Linked DNA regions of Caenorhabditis elegans. The protein of the gene in region 4 interacts with the protein of the main gene of each other region in a biochemical or structural test. Each region holds a gene or a part of one and is shown on either strand. Other genes may lie near its edges.

Region 1 (5,121 bases), on a different chromosome or scaffold from region 4:
TTCATTTTTTCACAACTGATCGAGAATCGAAATCCAAAAAACATAGGTTCACCGACGGTTCAATAAACAAAAAAGTTTAAACTATTCTGAGAGTAAAGCAGCTATAAAAAGTTCCAATTTGGCTTCAACACAGACGAGACCTCCCCGTTTGATAGGTTGGTCAGGCGATGAAAGGACACTAAAACGACACCATTTTAGAAGTGCCGGTCGCTTCTGACGATTTCATCGACCACTGATTTATGTGGACCTTTTGGAAAGAAAGAGAAACCAATTAAAATAAATGAATTGAAAAGATTTAAATGTGATTATATGAATCAGTTAATAAATGAGTTGGAAAGAAAAAATCCGAATGTCGCAAATAAAGGAGTATTTCGGATGAAAGTAGTTGAAATAGAGGAGGACACGGGCCTGAAGATAACAATTATCCGTTATCAGGTGGTAGAGTATCCGTGTATCAAATGCGGGTCATCAATGTCGTCGTTTGTCTCTTTTTCTAATGCCCTTTTGCTGGATGATTTCGGTTTCATTTAATGGAAAAATGGAAGAAGGAATAAGAGGTGACGCAATTCAATTTCAAACCAAAAGTAAGTTGAAGAAGTGAATGAATTCAAAGTGGAAAATGTATTTACAACAGAGAATGATGGATTCAGGTGGTTGTTGGTTTGAAAGATAAACGTTTGAATGAGAGTGGGGGAGAATAGGATGCCTATAAAGAATAAATTAGTTAACAGGTAGGGGATTTTAAGAGAATTCAGAGAAACGGGGATAAATGAACATAAAGCACTTTTAAACATGTTAACACGAAAATAAAGTCACAATATTTAAGCTTTGATTCCAAGTTTGGCCATACATCTTGCAATACCACCCTCTTCATATTCTTTCTTTGAAACCCAAAAATCTTGATCACGATCCTTCATCAGATTTGCAAGAACAGCTCCTCCAAGGAAAACCATGTGCTTACGGCTTGGTGGGGCTTCTATACGGATTTTGAATTTCTGAAAATAAATAAATTGGAACATTGCTGGTAATTTTTTCAAGGTCGTAGCCACGCCCACTAAAGAAGGATGTAAGTAAACACTGGGGTGATGGGGCGGAAAACTAAGATGTTGAGTGAGTGTTCTTTTAGGAGACCTCACACGAAGAAATCAAATGCATTTAGTTAACACATCATCAAATCGTCATTGACGACCAAAAGCGCCATTCTTAAAAGGAATGGTCAAATAACCAAAAGTAAAACTACTACAGGAACACAAATATCTGGGAATGCGTAGAGTGCAACATATTTGACGCGCAAAATATTTCATAGCGAAAACTACAGTAATCCTTTAACATTGTCTAGTTTAATGAGCTTGATTTTTAAAATGAATTTCTTTTTGATCTGTTTTCTTAACTTTAATAATGTTCTATCAATAAATAAATGATTCAACTCAGCTAATCGAGCTCTTGAATCTACACAAGAACTATAGTAGTCATACAAAGGATTACTGTAGTGTTCGCTACGAGATATTTTGCGCGTAAAATATATTTCGCGATACGCATTTTCAGAAATTTGTGCTTTCGTAATACTTCCCATTCAAAAATTGGCATTACATAAAAATTGTTTTTTTTTTTTCAAAAAAACTTTTTACTTTTTGATTGATAATTATTTGTGGAAAAAATTTCAATTCTACTACCAACTGTTTTGAAACTAATCTTTAATCGATTTTTTTTGATTAAAAAAAAGACAGCCATAGTGGGCGAAAATAAAAAATTTTCAGAAATTTTCGAGTTATAAAAATTTTCGAAAATTTAGAAATTCGGCGACAAAAAATTTCGGCAATTACCGGGTTCAAAACTATTAGAAAAAATAACTATAAAAATTAACAAAAAAAATCAATTTCTACTGTAGTAAATGTGTTTTTGATGAAGAAATATAACTCAAAACGACCTGAATATTTTCAATTTTCTATTCGGTAATTGGAATTTATTTTTGATAATTCGAAACTTTGACAACTGCTGAATTTTGAAAAACTCAGCGATCGGCATTTTGACAATTGCCTAGTCTCAACATTATTCCGGCAATATCCTTGTGGCCGAATTTTCGGAAATTCGTTACCTGGAACGCGTCAGTATTTCCATGCAATACGCGATCCAAATACAGCTGTTTCAGTTCCTTCTCAAGACGGCTGGGCAATCCTGGATACATAGTGGTTCCACCGGAAAGTACGATATGCTTGTAGAAATCAAGGCGAGTATCTATAAAAGGGATTTATAATGGAAATGCACAATTTCATTTTTGAAATACCTATATCACTGGCTTGAATACATCCGAAAAGAAGTTCCGAGAGACCAGCTTTTTCAACATTAATCAGATGTGGTTGGAATAGAATTTCTGGAGCTTCGAATCGTTCACCTCCGAGACGAATCACACGACCATCAGGAAGAGTGTATTGTTGAGAAAGAACTGTAGTCTCTAGTGCCAAACGTTCTTCTTGCTCAACATCATATGCAATGTAACAAAGCTTTTCCTTCATTTGGCGAACAGTTTCAAAGTCAGCAGAGTGATTGAAGTTGTATCCACGTTGCAGAAGAAGCTGAAAACAAATATATGTTAGTTTCTAATAAACCATATTTTGTCACTATAGCAATCAGGAAAATAATTGAATTAATATGTAACATTTAAAAACTTACCTTGATAAGATACTTGGTAATATCTCTTCCTGCAATATCCAATCGTCTTGTCAAATGATGAAGAGCAAATCCTTCGTAAACAGGACAGATGTGGGTAACACCATCTCCGGAGTCAACTACAACTCCTGTCAAAAGACCTTGAGCATAAAGAGTGAGCACAGCCTGAAAATATAATCATTATGATTTTATCATGAGGATTAACTATTACCTGAACCGCCACATAGATAGAATTGAATCCATACTGCTCAAACATAACTTGAAACATTTTCTCACGATTGCTGTTCGGATTGAGTGGTGGTTCTGTCAGCAGCAGTTTACACTCTTTCGGGTCGATATCCAACTTTTCCGGTCCAAAAGTATGATCCCATACATGCGCCATATCATCCCAGTTTCTAACAATTCCGTTGTCCATGGGATAATTGATATCAAGCATTTGACGAAGCTGAGAGCACTCCTCGCCAACCATCAAATCCTGTGAGAAAACAGTTATAAGACCTTTCTGTGTAAAGTTTTACCTTAATTTCAATATTTCCAACTCTTTGTGTCGATCTCACGATTGGCCGACCGACCATTGAAGGGAATATATGAGCTGGGAAATTGGTTCCTGCATACCCGCATTTGACGAACTGCAAATACAGAATTTTTGAAAATAAAATGGGATAAAATTTTGCAACTTACACCTGTTCCGTTGTCAACGACAATCACCTTTCGCCCTTGCGAATCCATTTCGCCTGAAAATTGTTAAATCGATTGTGCGGGTTTCGAATGAGTCATAAAGAGAAGAAAAGTAAATAAATAGCAAATTTGCTTGCCAATCGATGAAACCGGTAAAAATTTCGTTTTGACACTGTCTTAGTTGGCTTAAAATAGAACAAAGTACGAACATTTAAGCAATATTTTACATTACTTAGATTTTAATTTAATGAACGAGGGTTTCTGGAAAGTAAATCTGACTATATTTAGTGGAGATCGCCGTCAAAATACGCGGAAGTCGATGGAAAAATGTTTCTACAATTTCGCGAGAATTTTTATGTTCTTCATAGAATACGAAAACAATTATAAGATTAAAATATACAGAAAAGAAATAAGGAAATTCTATTGAAATAAAAACATGACAGTTCTGTCTATAGTGGAGACGCAGGGAATTGGTTGTCGATGGAGCAGATTTGCAGCAAGAGTATCGTAGTGTAAAAACAGATTTAAAAAATCTAAATCATGAACCTTTGTTTTTTTTATTATTTTATTAGTTTTATTTATAACATTTATTTTTATTTACATGTTTACCATATTTATGATTTTTTTTACTTGTGTGATTAGTTTTTGGTAGAAATTTCTGAATATTTATGTAAAAAAACATTTTCAACATCTGTAATAAATAAGTTGCGATATGGATTGTACCGAATTATTTCCACATGAAACATGGCTTTTTATAATAAAGGCTCTTCCTCACATCCAAAATTTTAATTTCTCAGTTAATTTTAAGAAAAATGGGAAGAGACAACATAACAACTAGGATAGGTCATGTGTATATGGTAGTGTTCCTATCGTGATTGGAAATGATCACAATATAACGTCATTCTTCTGTTAATTCAATTTTTCTCTGTTTAGTAAACTTATTGAACTCTAAATACAAACTTCGCAAAGAGAGTGTTTCAATGATCGAACGCTTCGTTCAAAGTCTATGAATTACCATTGAATAGTGTAAATTACAACAAACATCACATCTTAACTTTCAAAAATTGTTCAATGAAACTTCCATTGTTTGTTGAACTGTCCCCCTCCTCCTCTACCTATCTCTTATTTATATTTAATGTCCTCTATTCTTCATTTCTTGCCATTTTTATATTCTTTTATCTCATTTAAATGTATTTTCAGACTATGAGTGTTTTCACAAATGTTGTTGGTGGTGCATTCAAGTTTTCCGATGGATACGAAATGCCAAAAATTGGTCTTGGAATCTCTCGAATTGAAACTCAACAAGATTTAGATGTCTCTATTGAAGCCGCTCTGAAATCTGGATATCGTCAATTTGACACAGCCAATCTCTACAAAAACGAAACGTTTCTTGGTAATTCCCTGAAGGTAAATTTAAACTGATTTCTGAAAAACTATTCAAACCTCTAAAATTTTAGAAATATCTACCACAATTTGGCTTGACACGTGAAGATGTGTTCATCACTACTAAAGTTCGTACTCTCAATGAAAATACTGTGGAGGAAACTGAGAAACAACTAGCCAATTCCCTTGCAACTTTGCAAACCGAGTAGGAAAATATTTGTTGAGTTATCATCAGAATTATTTCTATTTTCAGTTATGTAGATCTTCTTTTAATTCACTATCCACGTGACCGTGATACTGGAAACGATGATGACTACGAAATTAACAAAAGTAGAAGGAAAATTGTTTGGCAGACACTTGAAAAGGCAAAAGGTATGTTGGTTTCATGGTCAT
Region 2 (3,199 bases), on a different chromosome or scaffold from region 4:
GAACAGTCTTTTCCCTAGGAAATTTCAAATTTTATCTGATGTTCAGATCGTAGCACATGCTCTTTTGATCGGTTATTATTCATTCGGGGATTGACTGAGGATCTTTAGATTCTTTCTCACTTTCAGGTAGACTTCCTCGCGGCTTCGGCTCCGGTAGTAGTAGTTTACATATCAGGATTTTCAACACTTTTGTATTCCGACACTATTCCACTGGAAAATTCACTTATTGTGCATTTTTGGCAAAATTCTACAAGTTTCAAGGGAGACGCGCTTATACAAAAGGGTCTCGCCGCGGGAATCGTATTTATTAAAGATACTTGGTTTAAATGTCTTCTTACGTTAACAGAAGATTATTTTTAATATGTTTTTCTCGCGGCGAGACCCCTACACACATATGCTCTGTCCTTTGAACTTAAATGTTACTCTTTTCGTTTCAATACCAAATGCGCAATAAATCCCGCATTGAAGCATAGCGTTCTCCCATTACTTCTGCTCCCATTTCAGTTATTTTTTATGCCAATCTTGAAATTATTGCGTGCTCAAACGAAAATCAAACAAGCACTTACTTTGAACGATTTACTTATCGAAGGAATACCACAGAAAATCGTAGGATAAGATTATGAAAATTTGCACTGAAGTTCATGGGTGTGGGAAAACGAGGGAAATTATAACACTTAAAGAAGAAAAGGGCTGCTCAAAAATTGTGAGAAAAATACATAAATTTTGGAAAATGAATTTTGCAATTTATGGAAAAATTAAACGGATTGAAGAATGCTTCTGGTGATTTCTTGAATGTAGATATCCGAGCTGGTGAGCTTCTTCTCATCAGTAGAGGACGGCTTCAAAACAGCTTTCTTGGTCGGTGCATTCTCCTTGTCCTCCTCTTCGAAAACTTTCTCCGGTGAATTGACAATTGGATTTTTTGCGAGATAGTTCTGAAACATAACCAGGTTCTCATAAAATCTCAAAGTTTCATTTTTTAAGGAAAACATTAAGAGTTGTGTTAATATCAGTGCTTTGATTAAAAGTTCGAATAGTCTAAATAATTACCTCCACAAATTCCTTTTTCGAATTCAAGTTCCGGTCGTGAACGACAAAGAAGACATCAGAATCGTTTTTGACAGTCTCTGGCTCAGTGGCTTGAATAGTGTACCCCTTTTCTGGAAGACAACTATGTTATTATGATTCAAAAATGCTTGAAAACATTTACCGAGAACTCCGAAGCGCTCATTCAATGTGATTCGTTTATTTGTCGCAGTTTTGTACTTGTTTTCCAGAATCGACGCCACTTTGTTGCTGTGCTCACGGTCAGCTAAAGGAATAACTTGATATTGGATGGCAGTAGTCATTCTGAAAGGTTTAAATTTTTAAATTTTACTGAAAACGCAAAATATTTTGCAAAATGGGAAAGTGGAATGATTGAAAATCAGAAAATTAATTTTAAAATTGACAATTTTTAAAAGAATGGATGATAAATTTGTCTTCGCGCGCTACTCGAAACAAAAAGTGCAGCGGAGCGTGTTTGCATTACTTTCAAAACGACGCAAATAATGATTCATTTTCGGATTATCGACTCCAATTTTACGATTTTCGCCGGTATTTCATGTTTTATTTTGTTCCATGCAATCTTTTTTCACTTCTAAATAATGTCTCAAACTGTTTCGTCAATAAAAAAATCAATAAGCATGCGCATTGCAGGTAATGAGCGCAACACTCCAACCATATCTGGAGGCCGTGCGTCACACGCTCCAGGCAGCTCTCTGTCTTGAGCAATTCAGTTCGCAGGTGGTCGAGAGACACAACAAACCAGAAGTAAGATTTATAACAGTAAAATGACTTGCAAAGTGTGAAGATTGAATAATTTAAATCAGTCCGCCGCCAATTGCAATAGTTTTTCGCTCAAAAACTATTTAAATGTATTATTCTATTTGTATATTATAATAAAATTGTAGGTGGAAGTTCAAACATCGAAAGAACTGCTCATGACGCCAGTTGTTGTTGCTCGAAACAAACAGGAACGAGTACTCATCGAACCCTCCGTCAATTCTGTCAGAATATCAATCGCCATCAAACAATCCGACGAAATCGAGAAGATTCTGTGCCACAAGTTCACTCGATTCATGTGCCAAAGAGCCGATAACTTCTTTGTGCTCCGTCGCAAGCCACTGCCAGGTCAGAATTAATACTAATATTCAGAGATTAAAGCGATAATTTTAGGTTATGACATCTCGTTCCTCATCACAGCATCTCACACAGAAGCAATGTTCAAGCACAAACTTGTCGACTTTTTGCTTCATTTTATGCAGGAAATTGATAAGGTGAACATTTTAAGTTAATTTTTAAAAAATTCCATAAATTTCCAGGAAATTTCCGAGATGAAGCTGTCTCTCAACGCCCGTGCCCGTGTTTCTGCTGAAGAATTTTTGAAGCGTTTCAATTAATTTTCTCCCCATGATTCCCAATTCATTTTTCTCATTTTCACTCAAATTCCGAAGACTTTAAACTATTATGTGAACACGGTTTTTTGATCAATTTGTGTAAATATCATCTTTATTCTCAATTTTTTCACTTTTTGTTTCTGAAAATGACTCCCCTCCCAAAAATTTCCTGTTTTAGGTCCTATTTTGCCTTTTTGATTATCGATTTTTTTTACCGCACACTGACTTTATGAATTATTTATTCAATTTTTGCAATATGTATGATCTGAAATATCTCGTGAAACATTTACGAGCTTTAATATTTTAAAATGATTATTAAGTTGGAAATTGACAAATCAATTTCAGAAATGAAGTCTATTCTACTTTTATTCTCCCTGATAGTGCTCGGCAGTGCAACAGAAGAAGTGAGCAGAACTGAGCAAACATCGACATTATTCTCCGTCGAAGGCGAGGTTCGTATACCAAAAATGTTTGATTTTTGGATTAAAAATATCGATCATTTTGGCTATATTCATAGAGAAGTCATATTATAAATTAAGACAACGTTTATATGCTTCTGAATACTTTTTCCAGTTCTCACATTTTTTAAAATTTTATCTTCTAGGTTCCTATTCTAATAACAACAAATTCGTTGTAAATTAAATATTTCATAGTCCTCAAAAAAAAAATTTCAGATCGCACTTCCATCTACTCGAAATTGTGCAAAATGGTCCGCAGGTGCTCGTATTCATTTGAACCATGGCCAATATATGGGATTTGTT
Region 3 (4,617 bases), on a different chromosome or scaffold from region 4:
TATCTTTGGGGTAAGAAAATGTTCTCTAAATCAGTAATTTACATGGAGAAATTTGCTCGAAAAAATTCAAAAAAAATACAGTAAGAAAATTGTCGTAAAGTCTAGGGTTTTGGTATTGCGGACTACGACAAAATGCACACAAACCATTTTGGCACCGGAAAAAGGCAAAAGCCAGGATTTTATCGCGTTTTGGCTCATTTTTCTTGCAAATTTCCATGGAATTCAGTTAACATATACCTAATTATTCAGTTATTTCGAATTAATCAATAATTTTCAGTGAATTTCGCAATTTCTAAGTGGTCCAATGATGTCTGTCCACATATTTCCTTGAAAACTGATTGTTTTATCGGAATTTATTGATTTAAAATAATATATATAATAAAATCTGAATTTTAGAATCATTTTTGACGTGGAAAAGACCCGAAAAATCCAAAAATCACGAATAAACTGAACAATTAAGGTATTAATTTTTGATCCCCCACCCCCAGTTTCTCAGTTTCTCAGCAAAGGATTAAAACAATTGTTCTTCTTCTTTTCCCCCTACAAGAATTTCCTGTGAATTTCAATCGTAAAAATATCGATTTTCTGTTTATTCTTTGGATGAGTCACCGCACTCGCCGATTGTTTAACTAGTGCAGTTCGGCAGTTTTACGTTATTTTTTCACGATTTTTTGGATTCTGATCCTCTAGGTGACTTGAAAATACCGAATTTCATATCGTAATATGACAGAAAAATTTATGGCGGTAAAAAAATGCGGAAAAATTTTCTAATTTTAACGGAAAACTCCAAAAAGCCGTTGGAAAATGATTTTTATTTGATATTGGCATATTTAAATAATTTTTATCCTGTTTTTTAGTGGATTTGGATATTTTAACCCGATAGTTATGTATAACGGCTTAAAAATTGCCAAAATCAGCGAAAAAACGCGAGAAAAATCACTTAAATATGGAAAATAGAACAATAATCAAATAAACCCGATTATCCAAGCCAAAACTGAGTTTTTTTTTTCGCATTTTTGAACTTCAAAATTTCGAAAAAATGGGCTATTTTTAACGAAAATCCCCAATTTTGCAATTTTTTCGTGTCACAGCCGTCGGAAATTGATTTTTATTTGATTTTTGACACATTTGAGTGATTTTATCCTTTTTTTTTCGTGGATTTAGGTACTTTTAGCCGATAGTTACGTATTGCTAAAATACTGGCTTAATAAGTAGCTAAATCGACGAAAAAATATGTTTTAAAAAACCAAAAATGGCAAAATTTTACGATTTTTGCTAAATCTTTTTTTTTTTTGAAATTTTAAATCGTCATAAAATTATTTAGCTAAATTTTTGTTAAACATTTCAGCGAAAAACTCCATTTTTGCCAATTTTTTGTGTCACAGCGGTTGAAAATTGCGTTAATTTAGGTATATTTGAAGCCAAAAAAGGAACAAAATTAATTTATTTGCAAAATTATCAATTTCCGGCTTAAAAACGCTCCAAGATTGGAGATTTCAGCGGAAATTAGCCCATTTTTTCGAATTTCTAAACCGCTAGACTGAAATTCCGTCTTTTTCTCCCATTTAAAACAAAAAAAATCCCAAATTTTTTGCAGCAAGCATGTCGGCCCATCAACTACCGGCATGTGTGATCGACAATGGAACGGGTTATACGAAGCTCGGATATGCTGGGAACACGGAACCTCAGTTTATTATTCCATCTGGTTAGATTTATTGATTTTCAGCCTATTTTTCATAAAATCCAGTGAATTTTCCAGCAATTGCCGTGAAGGACAAGGTGGCGAGCTCGAATTCGCAGGCGATGCGCTGGAATAACCGAGTCGGAGCCGGGATAGACGATCTTGATTTCTTTATTGGAGATGAAGCTTTGTCGCCGGCCGCTACGAATTATACTGTCAAAGTTCGTAGTTAATAGACCATATTTATGCTCCTGATGTCAAATATCAATGTGAAATTTTTTTTTTTAATTCCCAGATTTTATATAATTTTTTAAAATCCAAAAATCCTAATTTTAAATTTAAACGACAAAATTTTGCATGATAACCGTGCCGCAGGTGTGGATTTACGAGATTAATATTTTTAATTCATTTTTATTTAATTTTCACACCGATTTTCCCGTTTTTTCGTTGTTATACATTGAAATTCTTGGGATTTTCATAAATTTATTCATAAATTTACTTTTTATTAATGAAAACAAATTAAATTACAAGAAATATCGAACTTTTGCTGAAAAAATCGAATATTTCACGTATTTTTGTTGTTTTCATTAATAAAAAGTCATAAATTAATGGAAATCATGATAATTTTAATGTAAAACAAGGAAAAATCGGGAAAATCGGTGTGAAAATTAAATAAAAATGAATGAAAAATATTAGTCTCGTAAATCCACACATGCGGCACGGTTATCATGCAAAATTTGTCGTTTCTGAATTTAACATTTTGGACTTTTGGATTAAAAAAAATATAATTTTTTATAAAATCGGGAATTTTATTTTTTGAATTTTTCACATTGATATTAGGTATCAGGAGCATATGGAAAAAATGTTTAAAATTAAAATTAAATTTTTTAGTATCCAATTCGGCATGGAATCGTCGAAGACTGGGATCTTATGGAACGATACTGGGAGCAGTGCATTTTCAAATACTTGAGAGCCGAGCCAGAGGATCATTTCTTCCTTTTGGTACGGGAGAGAAGCAGAAAATTCGGGAAAAAATGCTCTGGAACAATATTTTGGCCACTTTTAAAAGAAAAGGGGGTCGAAAATCCGTTTTTTTAATAGAAAATATCCTGTAAAATGGATGTAAATCGGTGAAAAGCTATATATTACAGAAAAAACACGTGAAAAGTGATAAATTTCGATGAAAAAAGCTTAAAAATCACGAAATTTTGCAATTTTTGACTCTAAAATTACGGTATCCGGTCTTGACAGGACAATTTTTTTGGAAATAAAGCATGTGATACCAATTTAAAAAATACGTAAAAATTTTGAAAAAAACGGGAGAAAAATCAAGGAATTTCCCCCGAAAACTCCGGTATTTTTAAGCTTTATTAATTAAAATTAATTAAATGAAAAATCTACATTTTTTCAAAAAAATAGCAAAAAAAATTTTTTTTCGTATTAAAATCCTAATTTTATAGGAAAAGCTGTTTTTTTGAAGATATGGCTTTAATTTTCTATTTAAAAAATCGTTTTTTTTTTCTGGAAATTTACAAAATTTTGTTTCTAATTTTTTTTAAAGTAAGGGTCCCGCCACGATCTACCTGAGCTTCAACTTTCAGGCTTAAAGTTGGTGTAGTCGAATTTTTTTTTTGCTTTATTAGAATCAAAATTGTCTAAAAACACCGAATTTCATAATGAAACTTCTTGAAAAAAAACAGTTATGACGGTTCAAAAAATCGGCTAAAATTAGTTAAAATTTGAAATTTGGCCTTTTGAAATTACCGTCAAATTTTAGATATATAAGTTTATTATCGTGCGTTTTCAACTCGATTTAGGTATTTTAAAGTCGGTGGACTTGGAGATTTGGTAATAAAAATTTAAAAATCTCCAAGTCCACCGGCTTTAAAATACCTAAATCGAGTTGAAAACGCACAATAATCAACTTATATATCTAAAATTTGACGGTAATTTCAAAAGGCCAAATTTCAAATTTTAACTGTTTTAGGCCATTTTTTTGGAGCCGCCATAACTTTTTTTTTGAGAAGTTTTCAATTCATTATGAAATTCGGTGTTTTCAGACAATTTTTGAGTCTAATAAAGCAATTTTTTTTTTAAAAATCGACTACACCACCTTTAAATAGCGAATATTAGGCAGTTTTCCACGAAAAAATTTGAAAATTTCCAGACGGAACCACCACTCAACACTCCGGAAAACCGAGAATATACTGCTGAAATTATGTTCGAGTCGTTCAACGTGCCAGGCTTGTACATAGCCGTTCAGGCCGTCCTAGCGTTGACTGCCAGCTGGAATTCCAGAGAAGCCAACGAGCGAAGCTTGACTGGATTGGTAGGAAATTTTTTCGCTTTTGAGAAAAAAAAATTTTTATTATTTTATTTGTCACTTATTAAATAGCCAAAAATGCAAATTAATACCAGCAAAAACATGAAAAATATAATGAAAAACGACAATTTACACATTCCCGACAATGATGGATACTTGTTCCCGTCTACTTCGGCTTCTCCTGCAACTGCAAAAAAATCGAATTGCTCCTCACCATCAAGCGCTCCGAATCCCAAAATATCCTCATCGAAACTCGAAACCTCGCGGAGCAACACAGGCAGCTCTTGCAGCCAGAAACTTCCAGTTTTCCGTGGATCTTGCTCCAAATGCGTCAGAAATAGATGCCAAATTTGGCGGAATCTCTCCTTTTCGGCTTGTCGGCGGTTCGCATTTTCTAGCTGCTCATGATCTTCGGCTTCAGCGTGGAAAGCGGTTCTGAGTGCTTCTTCGTCGATTTTCGGGATGTACGCAGAAATTGCCATGTCGAGTAGAGAGTGTGGGAGACTGAGAGGGACAGGGAGAGATGACGTGGATTCTGGTGTACCGACGACGATCGATAATGTTTTCGAGGTACCTGTGTACCATCTGCCGTCTCTGCTAGCAATTGCATAAC
Region 4 (6,693 bases):
CAGCTCTCGTCGTCATCATCGTGGAACTCTTGTAAAAGATAAATATCGAATGCATTCGAGTCATCACACTTAGAAATAATTTTCTCAACAAAAAAAAACATATTTAGAATTAAATTTGTTTCTTTTTTCCCCATTTCATCTCAGATTGTGTTGCACTTTTACGGGTTCTTGTCAACCAATTCCGATTCGTTTCCTCCCAACCAAAATGTCCTTCCAATGCGGTCACTTATAGATCAAGATGTTTATGAAACATGTTTCCTAATAATTTATTGTGTAATATTTTCTCTTCATATCCCGAGACTCCATCATTCTTCTTAGAATTTTTCCCGTTGTTTCCCGTAACCAGTAATAGCGATTTTCAAATTTACATTTTCTGTTCATAAATCACACAAAAATCTACAAAAAATCATCTCATAATCTCAATTTGTTCCCAAAAAGCACACAGAACCATTTTTTTTGCTATTTATTTTAGCCGTTATTCTTATTGTACACCTGTGAATAAACAAGCTCTACCCGGAAAGCTTCTACTTCTCATCGAATTGGAAACAAAAATTATTTATGTGGATACCCAGAAAAATGATAATATGCAAAAAAATTATGAGCGTTTCTGCTGTAAGTCTAAAAAGGGACAATGGTTTTGGATGAGAGGGGAGCATCACAGAAAAATCTACGGGAGAAAAACAAGAAGACTGGTTGAGTTTTAAAAGTTTGTTGGTATTTCGGGTGTGTGGAAGGGGGCTTACGAAGAGAAATTCACACGGAATAGGCACTGATTTGGAGAAAAAAAAAAACTAAATGCACAAGTTTTACAAATTCGTCACTTTCAAAATGTATGATAATTTATCTTGGAAATTGACGATTCTGTAATTTTTCAAATCAAGAATTGTACTTGAGGGACTAAAATTACCCTGTTTCACACGGGATTTGCACAGAAAAAGGAAACGAAAAATGGAAGGAAAACAAGTTTAATGAGATAATTTAGTCTAATCTGACCATTCATTTTTGTCATCTTCATCGTCATCATCATCACTAGTATCATCTATTCCCATATTCATTCGACGTTCCTCAAGAGCCTTTGCTAGTGCTCCAGCCAATCCTCCCATTCCAGCGGCTCCAGAAGTCGTACTCTTTCGACGTTCTTGCTCAGCAGCTGCATCCACCTAAAGTTTAAAAAAATTGGAATCAATAGTAATTTTCGGTTAAAAATTGTCTTACATGTTTTAATTGTGCTCCTTGTCGAATTTGGGCCATCACATCTCCACGAGCATCACCACCAGCCGATTTTGGTGAATCTGCAGTTTGTTGAACGGATCGAAGTTGTTTTCCAGCTTGGATTTCCTGAATACAAAATTCAATAGTGAACATTTTTAAAAGTATACTAACCGCTAGCAAATTCGATCTTCCATCCTGAGCAGGTGGTAGTTTTGCGAGCACCGATGCAGGTCCTCCGGCTCCTGAAGGTGGTGGTGGAGGTGGAGGGGGTGGAGCTCCTGCTCCTACTGCTGGCAATCCCATCGGTGGTGGAGGAGGTGGTGGTGGAGGAGCTGCGGATGATATCGGAGCCATTCCAAATGATTGTGGTGGTGGAGGGGGTGGAGGTGGTGGAACCGCATGTGGTCGATTCTCTGGGGTTCCATAGTTGGGCGCCTGAATATAAATTAATTTTTTTCAGAAAATCACTCTCCGGTTACTTACTTGAGGTAAAGGTCTTGATGGTGCAATTCCACGGGTACCAGATGACGGTGGTGGAGGAGGTGGACGAGCTGGAGCCAATCCATGAGATTCGACACGTGTTGGAGGTGGAGGAGCGGCAGGTGTGGAATATGATGAAGCACCGCTTCCAATCGGAGCAGATGATGGGAATGATGGTTTGTATTGACGCACTGGTGTTCTGAAAATTTTTTTTTCATTTAAAAATAAAACTTTTTTGTTATCGTATTTCTAATATGGCTGAAATACGCCCTCACCAAATGCAACACTAATTTCATTTCTAATATTTCTAGTATTTATATTAAATATTTCATAATATTTCTGGTTCTCAGCTACAAAAAACAGTAGTCGTAAAATATATTCAAGGGTTAACTGTAACAGAAACATATTACTTTTAACTTTTTTTGTAAGTTTGCGGAAAAAAAACTACATCGAAAGCATTTCGGGGGAGAATAATTGGGATTGCGTTGCCATTACTCTTTTTCATGGTCCGACATCTACCGGGTTTCGACTCACACAGCGCATATGCATGTATCTTCACAGGGGCGAAACCCAGTAGATGTCGGACCATAATTAAATTTATTTTTTCTGGTTTGGAGTTATTTTTTTCCGAAATGAAAACAAAAAAACTAACTGATTCCATGACTGATTCATCTGTGGATGTTGCTGAATTGGTGGTGGAAGAGGTGATGAGATTTGTGATGGATCCAAACTTCCAACAGATACATATTTATCATAGTTCTTGGCAATGAATTTTTTCACGAATTTCTTATCATCCTCATTCAGATTATTGCTTTCCAATCCAGCAGCCTTTAGAATATTTTTAGTAGCTTCATCCATATCATCGTCGTAAACTGTATTCGAGAATCCACTATCCTGATTCCATCCAACATGAGCTTTATGTCTGAAATATTTAGTTTAATTTAAACCATTAAAACGGAATAAATCTCACTGAAAGTTTGTTGGATTAGAAATATCCTCTTTCTTAATTTTCGATTTTTTATCCTTCTTTTTGTTTTTATCTTTCCGGAACCATGATCCACTACTGCTAGCATTTCCATCTGTAAATATTGAAAATATTTAATTAAAATTAATGTTATTTTTTGAAGAGATTTCTCACCAAATTTATGTAACAATCTTTTCAATTTATTAATCATTAAAATATGAGCAAATTTTGCAAAGTATGCATAAGAAATGAGATATAAAATGTGATTTTTTTTAAGTTTACGTAATTTTATTCAGAAATTCAATTACTGACTACGAGAACATCATTTTTCAATTTCCAAAAAAATATTCACCTGTATGTGTATGTGATTGTGGTGCAGCAGCCATAGTTCCCATTTGTGTTATCCCTTGACCTCCGCCAATTGCCATTGGAGGTCCTCGAATTGTTCCTCCATAAGCCTGTGTGATTTCGAATTGTCGTGTTGGAGTGGATCCGATTCCTGAAATAATAAATTATTAAATATAGAAGTTCTCACTGTCAAGTGCTCTGTTCTTTTTCATTTCAATTCGATCACCCAATCAGTTAAAAATCATCTTTCTCTATTCTCCAGCATTTCTGCTCAACAATGATGTTCATGTGCTCTGAGCGCTTGAAGCCGATCAAGTACTCGGTCGGCGGTGCTCATAACATGACATGAACACAAATAATCGGTCCGAATTTCTCGCCATCCTGGGTTGGATGTTTGCTTTCCAAATTTGTGTGAAAAACTCTTATAGAACCAGATTCTGTCTATCAAATTGATCAACTCAAAGAAAAAACGATAATATGGAAAGATAGTGATCAAGTAAACAAAAATATTATGATAAAGTGCAAATACACATCATGAGTTCAACTTGTTGACACTTCCTATACTTTTAGAAGTTTCGAAAAACTAAATTCGTTTTTAAATTTTCAAGCTTCACAAGCTGTGTAATTTTTGGGAGATTTTAAAAGGTTTTAGAAACTATTGTAGAAGAGTAAAAATGATGAGGTGAAGATTCAGACATCAGAATATTTAAAGTCTGTAAAACAAACCATTAAGCGAAATTGATGTCGAACTAGAACTTTTCTTCACTAATCGATGCCTTGCAGGTGGATGAGATGGAATTGGTGGTGGAGTATCTGCTTCTACAGATGATGGTGTTGCACTGCTACTCTCTGTACTACTATCACTTCCTCCAGAACAGTAGATAGGTTCTTCTTTCTTTGTGACCATAACAGATACTTGACCATTTGATCGATGAACTAATACGGAATCAGAATGAGGTGCAGGATCAGGATTCATCGATACTGATTCATAATCGTCGTCTTCGTCACCGAAGTCATCCGTATTGAATACGTGTCGAGAACTCACATAGTCACCACGAGATACTGGTTCTTCTGGGATATGAAATCGTACCTTATTTCGAGAAAGTGGGGGTGAATAGTCTGGATCAGGACTCGGAGCTCTATGTCGACGAGGTTCTTGATGATGATGTGATGATCGATGACGAGGTCGGAATGCTAGCTGCTGTTGTTGCTGCTGATGATGTTGCTGTTGTAGTTGCTTTTGTTGATTGTGATAGTAATAGAATGCATCAGCAGATATTGGAACATAACATCTTGCATAGTTCTGACGCCTTGCATATGTACCTGTGGATCCTCCATACCTTGTTGAATATACTGGATCTTGGTATTCTGCAGATGAGCTTGTTGAGCTTGACGTGGAATCAGGACCTCCATAAGTCGAATAATCATTTACATTGTCATATTGTTCCATTTCATAATATCCTCCATTTGGTAGAGTATGACTCCGATGGGTAGTACGAGGTGAGGATCCCATAGAATCAGGGAAGCTAGAGCATCCTCCACGTGCAAAACGTTGCATATGGTTATGGTGAAGATGACCGCCAGTACCGGAAGAGGAAGTGGAGGATGGAAAGGACGAATAAATTTGAGCCGCCGACGAAACGGTTGACGGTTTATTGGACGACGGATTGGTTGTCGCAGACGGTGGCGGAGGGTGGGAAGGAGGAGGAAACGATTGAGCGACCGGCAGGTTGTGGTACTGATAGCGGAGGCGGCCGGCCGGATCCTCGCTTACCACCATCCACATGTTATTATTCTTCGAATGGCTACTACTTCTGATACTTCTGAAAGAAGGCGAAAAAGATCGTCGCAAATTATGGAGATGAAAGCGAGAGAAAAAAGAGTATATGGGAAATGTCGAAAGGTGACGTTTATGGAATCGAAAGCTGTGAGAATCGGAATTTTCAGGTCATAAAATGAAGGAATGGAACAAATTCACTTGAGATATCCGAGTGATGTGTGAAACAATTGAAAGGAGAGATGTATATAAGGGTTCCAAATTATACCTCTAGTTGACTTCGAAAATGGGCATTCCAAAAAATGTTGCATATTTACGCAAGCATAATTTGTAACATCCTATTCTTCAAAAAATCTTGCTGAAGTCTGATGAAAAGTGAATTTGGAAAAAAAAACGTTTGCATTTCTAAATCTTTTAAATTGCCATGACTTTCTGATTGGCGTACAAGCACTTAGTGATTCGAACGGATATTCAGAGAATCATAGAAACAGAACGAAATGAAAACCGTCATAATACACATCATTATTGTATACCGTTTCGCCTCTTCACACCGTTCGGCTTCTCTCCCTCTAATTTTCTCTCTCGCCCAATCGTTTCGATTCGGAATCAAATTACACAACACACTACCACAGTTTGGCGGCAGTGAGATGTGCATATTGACAGAGGAAACAGATGTAAATATTAATTGAATTCCTAACAACTATCTATTTCTATTCAAAAAATGATATTTTTTACATATTCCAAAAATTTTCCATGTAAGAAATGAATAGTAAAAGTGACCGAAATGATGGGGCGAAAACTGTGGGGAGGTGAACTGAAGCACTTCTCTTCTCACGAGAGTTAGGCGGAGTCAACACCGATGAGTATGTGTATGTGTGTATGTGCTGCCCTGAACCTCTAACGGAGAGAGTCTCAATATAGTTAAACATTAAAAAACTGAGAAATAATAAGATAATGTTTCTATTAGTTTGTGACTTAGGTGTCAATGTGTGGCTACCAGAAATACTTTGTAAGAAGTATCGTAATTTTTTTCTTGAGTTTACAGTACTTTTATAGTAAACGAGACACCGTTCTTAAGGGTGATCCTTCAAATTTAAAACAGCGGTAAGACTGAAAAAACTAAGATTTTACTTTTTTGTTTGAAAGCGTGTACTTCAACACAAAAATTATTCAATCATCGTTTGACTACTGTCACACCCGCTAACAACAACACGTAGGAACAGCTACACCTCTAGACGTCAATAATGACATTCGGAAAACGGAAGGAACAGCCAGTTTCACTTATTATTAAATAATTTCTACACTTTTTTCACATCTGCTTGTGTTCTGTTAACAGATTTTAAAGATATACTATGTTTCAAAAATAACCTGCGCCAAATACAAAACTATATACGAAAACCTAATTATAACTTCCTCTCAAGTGTCGACTTCTCAAAAATTAATGCATGAACATAATACAACCGCATAGGATTGCTGCAGAAGAAGAGATGGAGACTTGAAGCACTATTGTAAAAAAGAGAAGAAAATAAAAAGTATGAAAACCTTATAATTGAACCAGTGCTCGTTCTTTGTTCAGATTGAACATTGTAGAGCACAAGGCACGGGTAAGATCACGTAGATCTCCATTGAATCCTGTACTCGTCTTGTCCTACTCCTTGCTCTTTCAAGTGGCCCGCTTTTCACATGCGTCGATTGAAAGTGGCTCATGCTTTAGAGGAACACAAAACTGAGATTCATGATAGGTCAGAACAAATTTCTATTTTTTCAAATAGAATTTTATAGATTGTAAGCAATATAACTTCGAATCAAGTGACACATAATGACATATCGTATTGTAAGTTAGGAATACAGTAGACTACAGTAAGACCATTCCGAGATATCAGGTACGTTTTAATAAGTTTCAATTTCAACT

The links.
Region 1: the proteins of wsp-1 (region 4) and arx-2 form a complex in vitro, tested with the Caenorhabditis elegans proteins (one study listed by BioGRID).
Region 2: the proteins of wsp-1 (region 4) and arx-6 form a complex in vitro, tested with the Caenorhabditis elegans proteins (one study listed by BioGRID).
Region 3: the proteins of wsp-1 (region 4) and arx-1 form a complex in vitro, tested with the Caenorhabditis elegans proteins (one study listed by BioGRID).

The regions. Positions count from the first base shown.
Region 1 is NC_003283.11:10,334,955-10,340,075, forward strand, and holds arx-2 (Actin-related protein 2), read right to left. Parts: upstream 3,402-5,121; 5' UTR 3,397-3,401; coding exon 3,349-3,396; intron 3,297-3,348; coding exon 3,186-3,296; intron 3,143-3,185; coding exon 2,879-3,142; intron 2,833-2,878; coding exon 2,671-2,832; intron 2,574-2,670; coding exon 2,285-2,573; intron 2,236-2,284; coding exon 2,096-2,235; intron 996-2,095; coding exon 822-995; 3' UTR 509-821; downstream 1-508. Other genes in the region: K07C5.2 (NADP-dependent oxidoreductase domain-containing protein), read left to right, coding at 4,549-4,752, 4,803-4,933, 4,982-5,100.
Region 2 is NC_003281.10:4,876,962-4,880,160, forward strand, and holds arx-6 (putative actin-related protein 2/3 complex subunit 4), read left to right. Parts: upstream 1-1,696; 5' UTR 1,697-1,701; coding exon 1,702-1,812; intron 1,813-1,952; coding exon 1,953-2,172; intron 2,173-2,217; coding exon 2,218-2,318; intron 2,319-2,363; coding exon 2,364-2,441; 3' UTR 2,442-2,682; downstream 2,683-3,199. Other genes in the region: Protein tost-1, read right to left, coding at 756-935, 1,051-1,160, 1,211-1,349; C35D10.1 (ER membrane protein complex subunit 7 homolog), read left to right, coding at 2,786-2,890, 3,113-3,199. UniProt on the Caenorhabditis elegans protein: Functions as actin-binding component of the Arp2/3 complex which is involved in regulation of actin polymerization and together with an activating nucleation-promoting factor (NPF) mediates the formation of branched actin networks.
Region 3 is NC_003279.8:2,890,699-2,895,315, reverse strand, and holds the start of arx-1 (Actin-related protein 3), read left to right. Parts: upstream 1-1,597; 5' UTR 1,598-1,602; coding exon 1,603-1,705; intron 1,706-1,759; coding exon 1,760-1,902; intron 1,903-2,572; coding exon 2,573-2,683; intron 2,684-3,848; coding exon 3,849-4,010; intron 4,011-4,054; coding exon of another isoform or gene 4,055-4,617. Other genes in the region: Y71F9AL.6 (Protein PBN1), read right to left, coding at 4,055-4,617. UniProt on the Caenorhabditis elegans protein: Functions as ATP-binding component of the Arp2/3 complex which is involved in regulation of actin polymerization and together with an activating nucleation-promoting factor (NPF) mediates the formation of branched actin networks.
Region 4 is NC_003282.8:8,188,363-8,195,055, forward strand, and holds wsp-1 (CRIB domain-containing protein), read right to left. Parts: upstream 4,834-6,693; 5' UTR 4,791-4,833; coding exon 3,731-4,790; intron 3,156-3,730; coding exon 3,009-3,155; intron 2,772-3,008; coding exon 2,663-2,771; intron 2,615-2,662; coding exon 2,345-2,614; intron 1,892-2,344; coding exon 1,696-1,891; intron 1,648-1,695; coding exon 1,384-1,647; intron 1,339-1,383; coding exon 1,216-1,338; intron 1,161-1,215; coding exon 984-1,160; 3' UTR 542-983; downstream 1-541. Other genes in the region: pct-1 (Cyclin-dependent kinase 17), read left to right, coding at 1-73.